2 linked regions of the Rhinolophus ferrumequinum genome follow. The protein of the gene in region 2 purifies or fractionates together with the protein of the main gene of each other region. This does not show direct contact. Links are inferred from orthologs where the notes say so. Each region holds a gene or a part of one and is shown on either strand. Other genes may lie near its edges.

The links. Proteins that work in one complex are often made in the same cells at the same time.
Region 1: the proteins of CD81 (region 2) and PTGFRN purify together in Homo sapiens (co-immunoprecipitation; 7 studies listed by BioGRID and IntAct, with this or other methods). This does not show direct contact. The link is inferred for Rhinolophus ferrumequinum from reciprocal best matches to the Homo sapiens genes CD81 and PTGFRN.

What each region holds. Positions count from the first base shown.
Region 1 is NC_046305.1:47,024,801-47,032,282, forward strand, and holds the start of PTGFRN (prostaglandin F2 receptor negative regulator), read left to right. Parts: upstream 1-4,317; 5' UTR 4,318-4,656; coding exon 4,657-4,705; intron 4,706-7,482. UniProt on the Homo sapiens protein: Inhibits the binding of prostaglandin F2-alpha (PGF2-alpha) to its specific FP receptor, by decreasing the receptor number rather than the affinity constant. Functional coupling with the prostaglandin F2-alpha receptor seems to occur.
Region 2 is NC_046294.1:1,566,026-1,573,735, reverse strand, and holds the start of CD81 (CD81 antigen), read right to left. Parts: upstream 3,186-7,710; 5' UTR 2,991-3,185; coding exon 2,925-2,990; intron 1-2,924. UniProt on the Homo sapiens protein: Structural component of specialized membrane microdomains known as tetraspanin-enriched microdomains (TERMs), which act as platforms for receptor clustering and signaling.

The sequences.
Region 1 (7,482 bases), on a different chromosome or scaffold from region 2:
TGGGACTACTAAAAAAGTATTCCTTGTTTATCTGAAATTCAAATTTAACTGGGCGTCTTATATTTTAGCTAGCAACTCTACTCTGGATACATTTTAGTTTGCATATGTTTTTAAAATGGAGCACCTAGAACTTAAGATAATGTGTCAGTTGAACCCAGAAGCAGAGCTCAAGTAGGTGAGAAAGGCTGGAAGGGGAAGGAAAAAGGATATGGCCCACTCCTTCATCCCCCACCACCATGCTTCTGTGTGAAAAGTAGGGTACAGTGTGCTCATGGAGGGCATAAAGCCCCCTCCCCCAGCTCAGTGTCAAGGCACAAGTGGGGTACCTCTGTGTAGCACCAAGATTGGCAGCCCTGGTCTTAGGTAAAGAATCTCTTCCAACATCTCAAAGTCCCCTGTAGCTATTTCTAACTTCTTTTTCACAATCAACTTGGCTGTCTGTATTCATTGTGGGAGGTTATTTTTAGCTCAAGTGGGTAGCATATTTGCAGAATACTACACACAATGGTTTGTGCCTCTCCTATCTACTTACCTCCCTTTGAATTTTTTTCTCTTTCCTGGCATCAATCCTTTGAATTTCTTTGTAGTACTACTGATCTTTTGATACATTCAACTAGAATATAAGCTCCTGTAGGACAAGGGCCAGGTACACTGTTAACATAATAATAACGCCTCCCTTTTGTAGAGAGCTTTAACTGCAAAAGCCTTGTCTCATGCCATTTTCTTATTTTCTCCTCATACTCTTCTACCCCAGGATCCCTGTAGGAGTAAATGCTACAGGGTGGGTGCCTGGGGACACAGCTGGCCGGGTGGAAGTGACATTAGGGCAGTTCTAGTCATCTAAGAACACTTTCTCCACGAGCTCCCATTTCAGTCTTTTAAGGCCAGAGGTCACAGAGCAAAGCCCAAACTTCACTCATTCCAAACAGAGGAGACCCCTTGCTGTTTTTGAAGCTCCGTCAGATGGATATTCCACAACTTCCCCCAAGGCCTCACGAGTATTAAATGACTCTCACTCATCAGGAAGTGAAGGCTTCCTCTCCCACCCTTCCCTTTTTGACTCTTAATTCCATTCTCTAATTCTGTGATTAAATCTTAAATTTCTTTCTGATTAGTAATCCCCAGTGTAATTTCACTAGGGGACATAGACACCTGGAAACAACACGAGGACTATTTTCATGAAAATGAGTAGGGGAACGAAAGGCCACGTGTGGTAATACTCCATCGCCTGCCACTCTGATGAACGACATCGCGTCAGGGTCATCTGGAGACTGGGTCATCTGGTGGAGGTGGCAAAGCGCGCACACCAAGGCTGGGTGAATCTTGCGACCATCAGCCAATTCATTCCTTGGGACCTTTCACATTGCCATTCTCCACTTTAAATAATAAGGTGAATGTATTGATCTTAGCAGGAAAAGCAGCTAGCAGTATGAGGGTGGGGACCCTTAGGAGATTTTCAGGGGCAATGTGTAGAGGCGGACACGTGTAATCTGGCTGTTGTGACCAGAGCCCTCTGAGGGTCATTGTGACCTGGCCACGGAAACCTGTGGTGGGACTCACCTCCTTGGGGATGAGTGTGGGTCAGAGTTGCTGGAGAGTGAGCCTTCCTGTCCCAGGCAAACCCATAGACAACCAAACTAAGAACAGTTGACTGCGGCAAAAGCCTTACTCTGGCATAAAGATGTCTTTCGTAACACAAGCATCATCAGATTCCGGAGTCGTGAATTATAACCAATTGTGCTGGTCTGCTGTGGGTGCTGTTTCTTTCGTGAGAAATGTATTTTATCCTTTGGTCATCAGGGCTACCCAGAGGGTATGGTGGTTATGACCAACTGTCTGGAGTTATTCTTTTATGCTCCTTTTCTGCTACAAAAACAGCTGTCGTGGGCTGAGTCTCATGACACAGGTGACTGCCCGCGACCAACGGCTATCCATTTCAGTCCTCGTGTTACTCACCCTGCCCTGAACAGTTTCATTTTATATTTCTATTTCAATTACTAACCACTGTTATTTCCATGAGTGTAAGATGCACCATTCATTTAATAACACCTGGGGGTGGGGTGGGGAGGAAATAAGAATCCTGAACACATTAAATATGCACCATCTAGTGTCCGCTCATCCCTACGCCTCATAGCTAAAGACCTACTAATCCTTCAAGACTCACTTCACAGTCATCCCCTCTGAGAAGCTCTTTTGACAACCTTCCTCAGGACTGACCACTCCCTTGTGTCACAACTGCACCTTACCCAGGCTGCCACACCTACTATAGTCATGATGCACAGACTGTAACCACCTCAAGGGCAAGAACTATCTTATTCATCTCTGGCTTCCCAGAGTCTAGCCCAGTGCCTGACATCACATTTGCGCTATACACATTTGTGGAAGACCTACCATGTGCCAGGAACACTCCTGACTTGCACGTGTCTGTTAAATGAAAGATTTTTCGCAAACATCGACTGTGCAGTACCATGGGAAAGACAAAATGAGAATGTGACAGTCTCTCTGGCACTTCCACTATTATAGCGAGACGGGAGCAGGATGAATGCTGTGCTGTCCTAATCAATTTGGGCTGCTTAACAAATGCCACAGGCTGGGGGGCTTAAACGACAAATGTTTATTCCTCACAGTTCTGGAGGCTGGGAAATCCAAGATCAAGGTGATGGCTGATGCATTTCCAGGTGAAGGCTCTCTTCCTGGTTTGCAGACACATACCTTCTTGCTGTATCCTTACCTGGCACAGGGATCATCTCTCTCCTCTCTTTTCGTAAGGGCACTAATCCCATTCAGGAGGGCTCCAATCTCAGGACCTACTTACCTCCCAAAGTCCCATCTCCAAATACCATTGGGGATTAGGGCTACAGTATGCGAATCTGGGGAAGTATAAACCTTCAGTCCATAGCATGTGCTCACATGTATGTGATTAAGTGCCAAAACGTGTGGTTCAGACGTTAAGTGCTGTGGGTAGTTAAGAAAGGGAAAGATCTGAGCTTCTGCAGGGACCAGGCCTTACTCTTCTGTGTAGCTCCAGCATCTCCCAAAGCCTAATGTGAGGCTTGCGTTTCAAGTTAATTGAATTAAACTGAAAAAGTTCCCAGAGAAACGCTCGAGGATTCTAGGAGACGGGAAGGAATTGCAGGATGGGTGGACAGCATGGCAAAAGGCTTGGTGGCAAGAACGAATTAAAAAACATTTTTATAAATTGTGTTATAGATCACATAGAATTTACCCTTTTGCCCATTTTTAAGTGACGGTAAGTACATTGACATGGTTATGCCATCAAGGATGAAATTTGGAGTCTCTTTCAGAAGGGCTCATAGCCGGGTGATCACACATTTGTTAGCGGAATAACAAACACTTGTCAGTGGAAAGAATAATGCCTCCGCGTAAAAGTGTGTTTCTCTCCCCAACTTAGGCAGTTTCCCCACTAACATCTGTGATTTGTTTTGCATCTATTAGTGTGAGACTGTGGTGTGTGTGGGGGGGCAGGGGGCCCAGTGCTGCTCCCAGTATGTTTAAATTATCCTTGTGAAGTTCTACACAATGAACACTAAAAATTTCCGCCCCCAAGACTGGGCCTTTTGTATTCAAATCAAAAGCACAAAACCCTATTGTGGGGGGAAAAAAGGATCTATTGGCCACCAGTTGCGACCACTTAAAGGACATTCCATGTAAAGTACTGTAGCTATTAATACACTTGAGTGTTTTCTTTTTTGTTTTGTCTTTCATGGGCGTGTGTGAGAAGTGTTCTCGTAGCCCATAGGCACCACGGAGAGGGAAGAAGGTGGGCGAGGGACGGTGAGGCCCACCCAGCCGCAGGGCAGTGAGCAGAGCTGTGAGATTGGGGTCCTGGTTTTGCCACTTCGCTGTGAATCCTTGGACAAGTCACCTAAACACTTAAGGCCGCTGTACCACAAGGAGGATGTTATCCATGGCCTTTAACGTGCTTCCATGTCTTTCAGTCCTATCTGAATAATTTTTCGCAAGGGCCACGCTGCCTGGTTGGTGGGGTGCTTAGCTTGGGACCTGGGGGTGAACGTGCGGGCAGTTAGCCGAGGGAACAGGAGACAAGCGTGGGTGATTCCAGAGCGGTGGAACGCTGGGTGTCCCAGAAAGGAGCTAAAGCGATGGGATTTCCAGACGAGTCTTTCCAAGGCCAACTTTTAAAGGTCGGAGGAAAGTTTGTCGTGGGGCGGGAGCCCGAGGGGAGAGCTGGGTGGGCTCCGCCGCCTCCTCCCCTTTAAGCGGGCGGTCCCGGCGCTCGCTCCGTTACCTGGAGCGGGGAGGGGCTTGGGAAAGTTTGTGTTTGTTGCTGGCAAAGCGCCCGATGGGAGGCGCGGGCGGGCGGGCGCTGCGGTTCTTCCCTTTTGCTTTCGGGAAGCGGCCGGGGCTGCTGGCTCGGCGCAGCGGGGCGGCTCTGGCGCCCGGCTCCCGGGGCCCGGCCGGCCGGAGGAGGGCGGGGAGGAGGTAGGCGGACCGGCGGGAGCGCGGGGCGCACGTCCGCCCAGCGCTGGGATTGCTCGGCTGGCGACGAGAGCGGAGCAGGCGCGCGGCCCAGGCGGAGGAGCCGACTCTGGAGCAGCCGGAGCTGGAGGAGGAGGAGGAGGAGAGGCGGCGGGGAAGGAGGAGGAGGCGGAGAGTCACTCCCGCCCGGCGAGCATGGGGCGCCTGGCGCCCAGGCCGCTGCTGCTGGCGCTGTTGTCGCTGGGTGAGTGCGCGCGGGGCTTGGCGGGGCGCGGGGACCGTGGGGCCCTGGGGGTTCGGCGGGGCGCGGCTGCAGCGCGCGGCCTGGGGCGCCGAGGGTGCCGGGGCCACTCCCGGGAGACCCGGCCGGGGGACGCGGGCGGCGCGGCCCGGCGGGGAATGACCGCGGGGCCTCCGGGAGCGAATCCGGCCCGGCAGCGCGCGGGGTACCTGTCCCGGCGTCGCCAGGCCGAGCCTCGCCCCCCACACGTGCGGGGGGAGTGGCTCGTGACCCGCTGCCCCCAGCCCTCCCTACCTGTTGGCCGCCCGGAGCCGGGCTCACCTTGATCGCAGGCCCGGAAGGTGCCTGCGGTCCCCGATCAGTGTCCCCAGCTTGGGAGCGGAAATATGCGCCTTTGATCTACCTGGTGGTAGTCGAGCCCCGCCGACTCGCTCCTCACACACAAACCCAGGATGAGTTGCCTTTCTTGGGAAGCCAGACAATCCACCAACTTCCTTCTACGAAGGTCACGAGGTGGCCCAGAGCGCTACAATAGAAATCAGTGTGCGAGTCCTTCTGTCATGTTGGCTGTGGTTAGAGCTTCTGCCTGAGTCTTTTCCTTTATTTCTTCTGGAAACTGCCTAGCTCCATATTTACACACAAAGACCTACGAGGCTTGGCTTCTCCAACTTTTCCTACCTGTTACTTTTTCTGCCTTTCCTGTCCCCTGTCTTCCACCCTTCGCAAACCTCGGTGCCTCTTGATAAATTGGCCCAATGCCCTCCCCCAACCCAAGGAATCTTTGGTGGGTTTTTTTCTCTTCGTTTTCCTTTTACTCCATGCATACAGACACCATCTTCAAAGCAGATACATATCGTTGTCTTGGTATATTAACATAACTATGTGGGAATCAGCCACAGAAATACATCTGTTTATTAAGTGCCCACCGTGGTGCCCCAGGGCTGACCCTTATGTGCTTTGATATTCTTGAATCCTTTTGGTCTGTGTCAGAAGAGAAAGAATGCTGTTACCTGACCACCGGTTTCCTTCCAAGCCTTTGGAGAAGGCAGATCAGAATCTTTTGCAGAGTGCATGGCGTGGGGTGTCTGTCCCAGCCAGGCCCCAGCTGCACACGGGGTAAATGACTACTCTGCACTTACGGTCTGAGGGTCCCAGTGGAGGACCTCCACAGCCGCTCCCATCCTGATGGCTCCAGGGCACCCACTGTCCCAACCCCCATGCCTCTTGCTGCTGGTGGGCCAGGCTTTCTGCTGCTACTGTGTTCTCTTCGCCTCCGAGGGGTTTTCTGGAACTCACTCCCCAAGAGAGCTTATCCAGCCACATTGTTTTAGCTGCGACCATTTGCAGAAAGCTTCCAGATCTTTCACTTAGTTTTGAAGCCTCTCTTCTGTGATCTCGGATCCTAGGGCTTTTATTCTTTTCTTTTCACTCTGGGACCCTTGTAAGATCGTTTGTTTCGTACTGCTGGTGATAGTCCATAATAGTTAATGGGCTCATGTGTTTGGGTCAAACAGGGCCATGGCTAATGGTTGCACAGACTGTGCACTGCACAACTGGGAACTGCTGTTCACTTCATAGTCTCTGTGAGAATGACTCCCCCTAGAGTTGTGCAGGTCACAACCTGTGTATCAGTAAAGGTAGACGTTTGGAAAAAAAAATGCCCTTGAATAGCTATGATAAGGGAGAAAAAGGGAGAGAAGAAAGGGCAAAGGGAGAAAATAGAAGTGGCAACGCAAAAACAAGTGGAGGAAGCGCAGCTTGGGGAGATCTTCATTATGTACCAGTGTATCCCGCCCTGGCTGGACATCTCATGTTAACTACACACGGGTAATGTCTGTGGTGTCCCCAGCCAATGTCTTATCCCCTAGCAGGTCCCTGAACTTGAACCTGATAACTCTGCCCCACAGAACCTCACTCCGAATGGCTTCAGTCTGACCTTCGGGGAGGCCTCCCTATTGTACCACTCTAGTACTGTCCTGATTCCTGAAACGTAATATGTTGATAAGCAAGATCGTCTTTCCTCTCGTATTGCAACCGGGGCATAGTCTTGCCGTCACTTTCTTTGACTTCCATGTTCACTCTGTCCCTCAGTCCTGTGGCTTTTCCCATAGCGCAAACTCCACGGTTTTCCCGTCCTTCCTGTTTCTACAGCTACTATTCTAGCCCAAGATGTGATACTTCCCCACACGGTTCACTTCTGACATCTTCCTGGTTGACTCTTTCCACCAGCCTCCCTTCTAAGGTCATCATTTTCCTAAAGGATCAGCTTTGGGGGTCCTGCCTTTGTGTGCTGGTTTTCTTTTTCTTTTCTTTTTTTTTTTTTTTTAGGACTTTTTTTTTTTTTTTTTAAGAAAGATAGGCTTCCCCTTGTGTTCTCTCCCCTCTGCTCTTCTGTCTTGATTCAGACACTTCATTCTAAGTAACCTGTTTGCTCTCCTTTACGTAGAACATTTGTGAGCCTTCTGGCTCTTCCAGGTCCTTTAGCCTCGGAATGTCCCTCCTGCTTCTCTCCTCTTGCCTGGGTTCCTCCTCTTGCCTGGGTTCCTCTTGCCTCCTATTTCCTTTCCCCCTAAAACTCACTGCCTGCATGAAGCTTTGCTAAGTCTACCGATCACCATCTCATCAACTTCATATGTCTGCCTCTGTCTGACCTATCTTGTTTATGCGTTCAGTATAGCATTTCTCAAATACCCGTAAGAATCCATACGGGTGTCCCAGACCAATGCCTCACTGAGTGGTGGGGGTGGGTGGGTGGGGGTGGACAGATAATAAAACAGCTA
Region 2 (7,710 bases):
TGGGCACAGGAAATCCCCTGCGCCCCCCACCTAGAGCCTGCCAGGGCCACATCCCTCCTCCCGGAAGGAAGGCGACAGAACCGCTAAGAGATAGACAGTCATGTGCTGTCTGGAAGTGAGAATTAAATGCCAGTTAGCAATGCTTCTAATCAGCCTCGTTCCCAGCCGGGTCTGGCCACCCTGCCTCTGGAAGGCAGCCACCAACTGCATTAGGCGGACGGGCAGCCAGTCCCAGGCAAGGAACGCTCTGCTCCTCTCCCCGCAAGGACCAGTGGCTCCCTGGCCAGCCCCCCAGAAGTGGGTTCTTATCATGCCCATTTCCCAGGTGAGGGCAGCAGGGCTCATGCAGGCCAGCCGCCTGCCCCAGGTCACCAAGTCCAGTGCGGTGAGCAGGGATCTGAGCCTGTGCCCTTCCTCATCTGCTCCAGTACCGTACCGGCCCCCTCTGCCAGGAAGCCCCCTGTCCCACCCCGATGGGCAGGGGTCCCATGCTGCCTGGCTCCGGCTCCCAACCTGATACCTGGCTGGCTGGGGAGCCCCAGGGTCTCAGCACCGGCAGGGCAGGAGAGCAAGTGTGCAGGGTGACCCAGCTCCTTCCTGGAGAAGCACGCCAGGCCACCTTCAGGCCTGCTCCCACGTGCTTGGGGCCTTTGCCTTTCTACTTACTCCCCAAGAAGGAATTTTACAAAGTTTCTGGGTCCACATACCCATTGTCACCCTCTTCTCCCGGCTCCCACCCTTGGCAGCCACTCCTGCACTGTGACTGGGGTGCCCAGCTAGCAAGTCAGGTTGGGCACTGGGAGCCCCACGTAGGGGCCTGAAACCCTTCCCCAAGGCACTGCCTCCACCGGGACCACGCTGAGCAGGCTTCCTGCTGGCCACCTGGCCCAACATCCATTTCCTGAGTTCAGCCCCTACCTGTGAGCCAATCGACCAGCAACGCCAGGAGATAGGATTCGGAGGACCCCACTTTAGAGGGGAAGAAGCTGGGGGCTAGGACCAGAGCAGTGGGAGGGAAACTTTGCCCAAGCCCAACCCCACTGCACCAGGCTCAGCCTGGTGATGGAGCGGGGTGCAGAGAGGGGCTCCTGCAGGGTGTGCCCCCAGCCCCACAAGGCTCAGCTCTGCATTCCCTCACCAGAGGGGGTGAACCGGCATGGGTGGGTGGGGCCACGGTGACTGGACCATGGAGACCTACGGTGCAGACACAGTTCTCAGTGCTCAGCTGGAAGTGGGAGGGAGGGGACAGGCCTCGGAAACATTTCCCTAAGTCTCAATAAAGAACAGCCCCAAGGGACGTGTGGAGCCTCCACCCCAGCTGCTTGGGAAACTACCAGACTGGCCCAGCTGCCAGCTCCAGGGGGCCTGATCTGCAGACCTCCCCAGCTGGGCAGGTGGGAGGGACTTACAGCCCAGACACCAGGCCCAAAGACAAAGAATCTACTCCTGGAGAAGTCCCCTTCCTGTGCCTACCCTCTACCGCCCTGCCAGGGTCCTCGCCCCCATATCCAGGCTCAGCAGAGGGGCATCTGGGTGCCCCATTGACCCCTATGTTTGCCTGGCCAAAGCCGGCAAACACTAAATCCAGGACGACACCACCCCTCAAAGGCCCTAGTGGCTGCCTGGGGCCAGGCTTGGCCCACCCCCAAGGCAGAGGCCAGTGGCCTCCAGGGGTCCCCTAGGTCGATGTGACACCGCACTCTACCCCCAGCTAGAGTTCAGTCCAGTCTCTGTCTTCTCGACCCCAAATCCCTTGCTGCCCGAGAACCGCTCTGGGTCCTGGCTGTCCAGATGGGAAGCATATGTTCCCACCCCACATACTCGGGGTGAGCAGCCAGGCGTGGCAGCAGCATGGAGGAGCCTGGGAGGGGTCCCAGTCACTGCCCAGGGAGGAGGGCACGGCCATCATGAGAGGGGCTCCTTCCACCGCCTCTCCGGTCCCAACACTGACAGGAAATGGAAACAAAAGCAAAACTCCATCAGTCACTGACCAGCAGTTTACACCCAAGTCAGGAAAATCCCAAAAGGACTATCCTGTGGGTGCTTCTTTCCACAGTGGAAGTCCCAGGCCAGCCCCTGGCCCCCAGAGCTCAGGGACACCCAGGTCTTCAGGCCCCTGCCCTGTGCCAACTGGAAGGGACTGCCCCATCCCCACTCTCCAGGCCTCCACCACCTTGGGGGCCAGGCCTGGCTGGAATCTCGGTCTGGGTGAGAAGGGCAGGGGGATCTGGCCCCACACACGGGGGCCACCACGGTGCAGGCACGCCAGCACACAGGCCACACCCGGCCCAGTGTGCTTCCTGTCTGCTCACCCCAGTCCAAGACCCCAAGAACGGTCCCAGGGTGACGACAGCTGACTGGGGGGTGAGCTGGGCTGGGCCAATAGTGGGGTGGCCAGTACCCAAGACTCGGACGGCGTGTGCACCCCCAACCTGGCCGCCCATGCAGGGGCGGTGGCCTGGATGAGCTCATGGGGGCGGGACGCCCTGAGACCCGCCCTCAAGCCCCCCCCCCCCAGTCCCCGCGAGGCAGGGTGGTCCCAGGAACAGCATCCAGGGGGCTGAGCAGCCCCAGTACGCGGCCCGGAGCCCGCATCTACCCCACCTATCACCATCACCAGGCGGGAACAGACCTGAGGCCCCCAAACGCCCCGGCCCGGCCGCGGGGACCCGGGCCCTGACGCCCACAGGCCCCCAAACCCGGCTCGCAGCCCCCCGCCCCGCCGTCAGGGGTCGCGACGCTCCCAGACGACCCCCACTGCCCTGGCCTGCCGGCCCAAGACCCCCAACCCCGCGCCCAGCGCGCACAGGTGGCCCCACAACTTGGCGGCCCGGCCGTGCCCCCTCGGCGGGGCCTAGCGGGGCGCGCGGCCCGCGGCTCTGCTCTGGGGCGCCCCCGCCCCGCCCCCCCCGGCCGGGGCTCACCCAGAAGACGAAATTGAAGACGAAGAGCAGGTACTTGATGCACTTGGTGCAGCCCTCCACCCCCATGGCGGCGCGGGCGGCGGGCGGCCTGTGTGGCGCGGGCCGGTCCTGGGCAGAGGGGCGCGGGGCCTGGGGACCTGGTGAGCGGCCGGGGGCTGAGACGGCGGCCGACGGGCGCGGAGGCAGCGGGCGCGCGGGGACGAGTGGCGCGGGAGGCCGGACTGGGATACGTGAGGCCGGAGCCGCCGCTGCGCGCTCGCTGTCGGTCCGGGCGCGCGCCCCGCTCCGCCACTTATATGGCGTCCAGACACCGCCCCCCCGTTTGCTCCGCCCCCGTCTGCTCCGTCCCCGGCCCCGCGGCCCCGGAGGCAACCCCTCCCCCTCGCACGCACACTTAGAGGACTTGGTGTCCCCAGGACCCCAGACCCAGACGCGTTGTGCTGGGCGCAGCGACAGGACCGCGGCGAGGATGCCCAGGGAAGAACCTCTCCCTTTCTCCCACAATTCTTCTTCAGGCACCTTGTACCTACCCAAGAAGGCTTCCTGGAAGAGGTGATGCGCCAGCAAAGGCTACGTAAGCCAAGATAGCAGCGCCCTTTATTCGCATCGCTCCCGGGAATGGGAACCTGGGTGGGCGATGAGGCCTGAGAGTAAGCGGACCTCGACCTGAAGATCCTGGAATGCAATTCTAGGCATCCAAACCCTTTTGTCCCGTGGTCCGGGGAGTCGCTGACCACTCTTAGAAGAATCTGTTTCGAAAGGTGTACCCTAGGCCACTGCTAACTGTCTAGGAAGCCCAAGCCACCTGTAGGAGAACCTCCAAATGTCTTGTACGTATTTCGTGCATGTGTCAGTGGTGCCAGGTCGCCCAGATGCTGCTGTCTTCCTGAAGTGAGGGTGGTCCCACTGCCCTCACTGCCCGGGGTAATGAGGAGGTAGACAGGTGACTCCTCAAGTGAGGGATGCTTTCTCCCCAGGTGACAGAGCAAGTCTGCAGCAAAGTGACAAGCAGATGAAGCCATGGAAATGCCCACTGCCACAAATGACTACTGCCCACTTGAAACGTGGCCAGTGCCCCCGCCGAGAACTGAGGTTTTCATTGTAGTAAATTTGGATGGCCGCGGGTAGGCAAAGGCGGCCACATTACAGAGGAGCCCTGTCGTATTCATCTGTGCTCAGCTGTCGTGTTCTTGGTGGTTAATTTTAAATTTTGTTTTGGCTTCACGCGTGTATGAGAGCTCCAAGCACACGTTTACACCTAGTGTTGTTTATGCACGTCCAAGTGACATAATAAAAGTAACTGAAGTCTTCTTCCTTTGAGGGTCTGCCAGGGTTGTTTTTGTTGAAAAGGAGGCAGGACAGTGTTGGTGTAAGGAAATGCCTGCCCTGATGTCCTGGGGGTCCTGCGCTCCCCACAGCTCCCCGCTGTCCAGTTACAGGTCAACTGCCAAAGAAGTGGGGTGAATCCTCAGAGAACGGCCTTCCCTGGGCCCCGTGGGGGGAGCAGGAGGACACTGAGCCCACCCTCAGGGAGCAGGGCAGAAGCATGCCCACTGCGCTGCGTCGCTGGCCAGCCCTCCCCAGAGCAGGTCACACCTGGCTAGCCTGGTCTGTGCTTTGCTTCAGTCATGTGGCAGATGTTTAGTGGTGCCTGTTACCTGCCAGCTGCAATTCCAGGCACTGACTGTGGGAGCTGACCAGCCAGGACCCCTTCCCTCAAGGACTGTTGGCCTGTGACAGATGCTGCCTCACGATGATCATGTCTCATGTTGACTGGGGAGGGAGGAAATTTCCAGGAGGCTTGAAAGAGTCATGGAGTGGGGGGTGGGGAGGGCAGGGGCGGGGCACTCCTCTCCTTGCGGGTTTGGAGGATCCACAATGAGTCCTGGCCCTAGAGAGTGGGAAAGAGCCAGCTCTGCCCTCCAGGCAGATGGGAGACTGGTAGGAGGAGCAGAAAGGATGCTAGTAGGGCGGGAGCAGAAGGAGGGAAAGAGGGCCACACCCAAGGAGGTCAGGGCCAAGGGTGAGGTGGCTGGCTCTCCGGCCTGAAGGCCAGTGTGAGGTCTCCTTCAATCCTGACTGTCGTGGGAGCCATTGGCGGGTTTCTGCAGGGGCACCACAGGCATGACTTCTGACCTGAATGGGGACATATGTGGGAGCAGACTGCCTTAGCCCCACAGTGGGACCTGCATTCACAGGGAAAATGGGCCTCGAGGGTCGGGACCACCTCCAGGGGCTGGTACCTGTGGGCTGTCCGCAGGGACCACTTCTGAAGTGCCAGGGGCCACCAACTGACCTTGTGAGGACTGAAGGGGACCAGTGCATTAACCGGGGTTTTCCAGAGAAACAGAATCAGTAGGAGGTGTGTGTGTGTGTGTGTGTGTGTGTGTGATGTACTATAGATTATAAAGGAGATTATTACAAACCAGCTCGTGTGATTATGGAGTCTGGGAGGTCCCAGGACCTGCCATCTGCAAGGAGACCCAAGACAGCGGGGCGTTTAGTTTCAGTCCAGATGTCAAGAGCAGGGAGCTGATGGTGTAAATCCCAGACCGAAGGCTGGAGATGAGAGGAGAGGTCCCAGCTCATGGGATGAGGCAGGAAAAAGGGGAGAGTCCCCCCTTCCTCTGCCTTTGGTTCTACTCAGGCCTCAGTGGGCTGGATAAGCCCTCCAATTGGGAGGGCCACTGCCTCACTGAGTCCACCTGTTCAAATGCTAATCTTACCTGGAGACACCCCCGGGTATTCCCAGAAATAATATTCCATCTGGGCACCCTGTGGCCAGTCACGTTAACAAACACACAACACTGAACATCACAGTAGCAATGACATGTGTGGCAGTGTGATCTGGGGCAGGTGGGCCTCAGGGACTGCGTCCTGGGAAAGATCCCCAGAGCCCCACTGTGGGCTGGATGGCCCACAGCCTGGAGCTTCCATCCAGGCTCTGAGACACACAGACCCAGAAGGGCTGCGTCAGAGAACGATGGAGAGAGGGGAGAGGCTTGCCTGCGCCAGGCCTGGCGTGGGAGACCCCTCCCTGTGCCTGCCCCGCCCACCAGCCCATGGGCGGGGCTGAGGTCCTGAGGACAGGCGGGGCAAAGAGTGGGCCTTGCTGCCCCGGTGTGTTCAGCTCCGAGTCTCTTTCCCTCCGTGTGACTTCTGGCTGGTTCCTCAGTTTCCCCATATGCAGTGGTGCCATGGAATGTGAGGCGGTGAGAGGAGCAGCATGCTGGAGGCCACTGCCTCCTTTAAGCTTGTTGGGCAGACAGACTTCACTGCCAAGCCCAACTCCAAGGACGGGTGACTCACTGCTCTTCTGGGACATGCTTTCTGTTCAGGGGGAATCACTGAACCCCGCCCTGTGCCTTGATTTCCTGTGGAAGTAAACCGAGACCACCCAGATGAATGGAACAGAGGCTGTTTATGCAGAGAATGCTGCAAAGGGGATTCAGCCACCCTCACTGCACTTGGCTGAGACTCAAAGGCAGGCCCTGAGGGGAACAGCTTCCTACTTACAAAAGGAAGACTTTACCATCCGAAAAACAATCCATGCACCGCACCACATTGATGGAGTCAAGGACAGGATCATCTCCACAGTTGCAGGAAAAGCATTTGACCAAACCCAGCACTCTATCCTGATGAAAACACTCGACACCTCAGGAATGGAAGGGTTCCTTGAACGTCTCATAAAGGGCACCTTCAAAAACGCCGCTGGCTGATAGCATTACCAAGTGCAAGACTGGAAGCATTTCCCCTAAGGGGAGGAACAAGACGAGGACAGCCACTCTCCGTCGCTGGAGGCTGTGGCCAGGGCACGTAGGCAAGATGAAGACAGAAAAAGGCATCTGTACTGGACAGGGAAGCAGAGGACGTGACATAGTGCATAGAAACCGCGAAGAAATACACCCAAAACCTACTGAAACTAATAGACACCTGCAGCAATTGGCAGGTGACAGGATCAAGGTACGAAAATCAATTTTATATCTATACACGAGCAATGGACAGTCCACACATGGAATAAAGAAGACAATCCCATTTGTAATAAATAGCAGCAAACAGAACAAAGTATCTGGGAATAAATTCAGCCAATTTATTATAAGACTTGGACACTGGGAACTACAAAACATTGTCAAAGGACCGAAGGCAGGTCTAAGTCAATGCAAAGGTTCCTGGGGTTCACAGATCAGAAGACTCAGTCTTGCCACAATACCAGTGCTCCCCAAATTGACCGACGGCTCCACACAACCCCTATGACAGTCCCCATTGGCTTTACCAGGCTCACCCTAAGTACTATACGATTACAAGGGCCCCGGGACACCCAAAACAGTCGTGAAAAAGGAGAATAAATTTGTTGGGTTCACACTTCCCGGTTCAAACTTCCTGCAAAGCTACGGTGATCAGAACCATGTGGAAACCAAATGCATAGAATCGAGAGCCCGGAAATCGATCCTCACCGTCCGGGACCCTCCATTCCGTGTCGTCCCCATCAGGCATCGGTCCATATAATGGAGCTACGCCTACGAGACAGTCTCTTCTCTGGCCCTGAGCCTCGTTCGAGGCGTGAATGCCGCCTCGGGCCCCCCTCATTACATGACATAACCGGCTCAGTCATCCCTTCCCCTCAGCTGCTACTCCTCCCCCCCTCCATCTACACCCAGACACTTCCACCTGCGGGATGACATCAAGTTTGAAAGCGCCTTTACCGTTCTAACTTGGGAACCAGCCTTCCTTCTGGCACTGGAACTTACAGCCCTTGCCTTGTGATCACTGCAAAGGGGGATGGGGG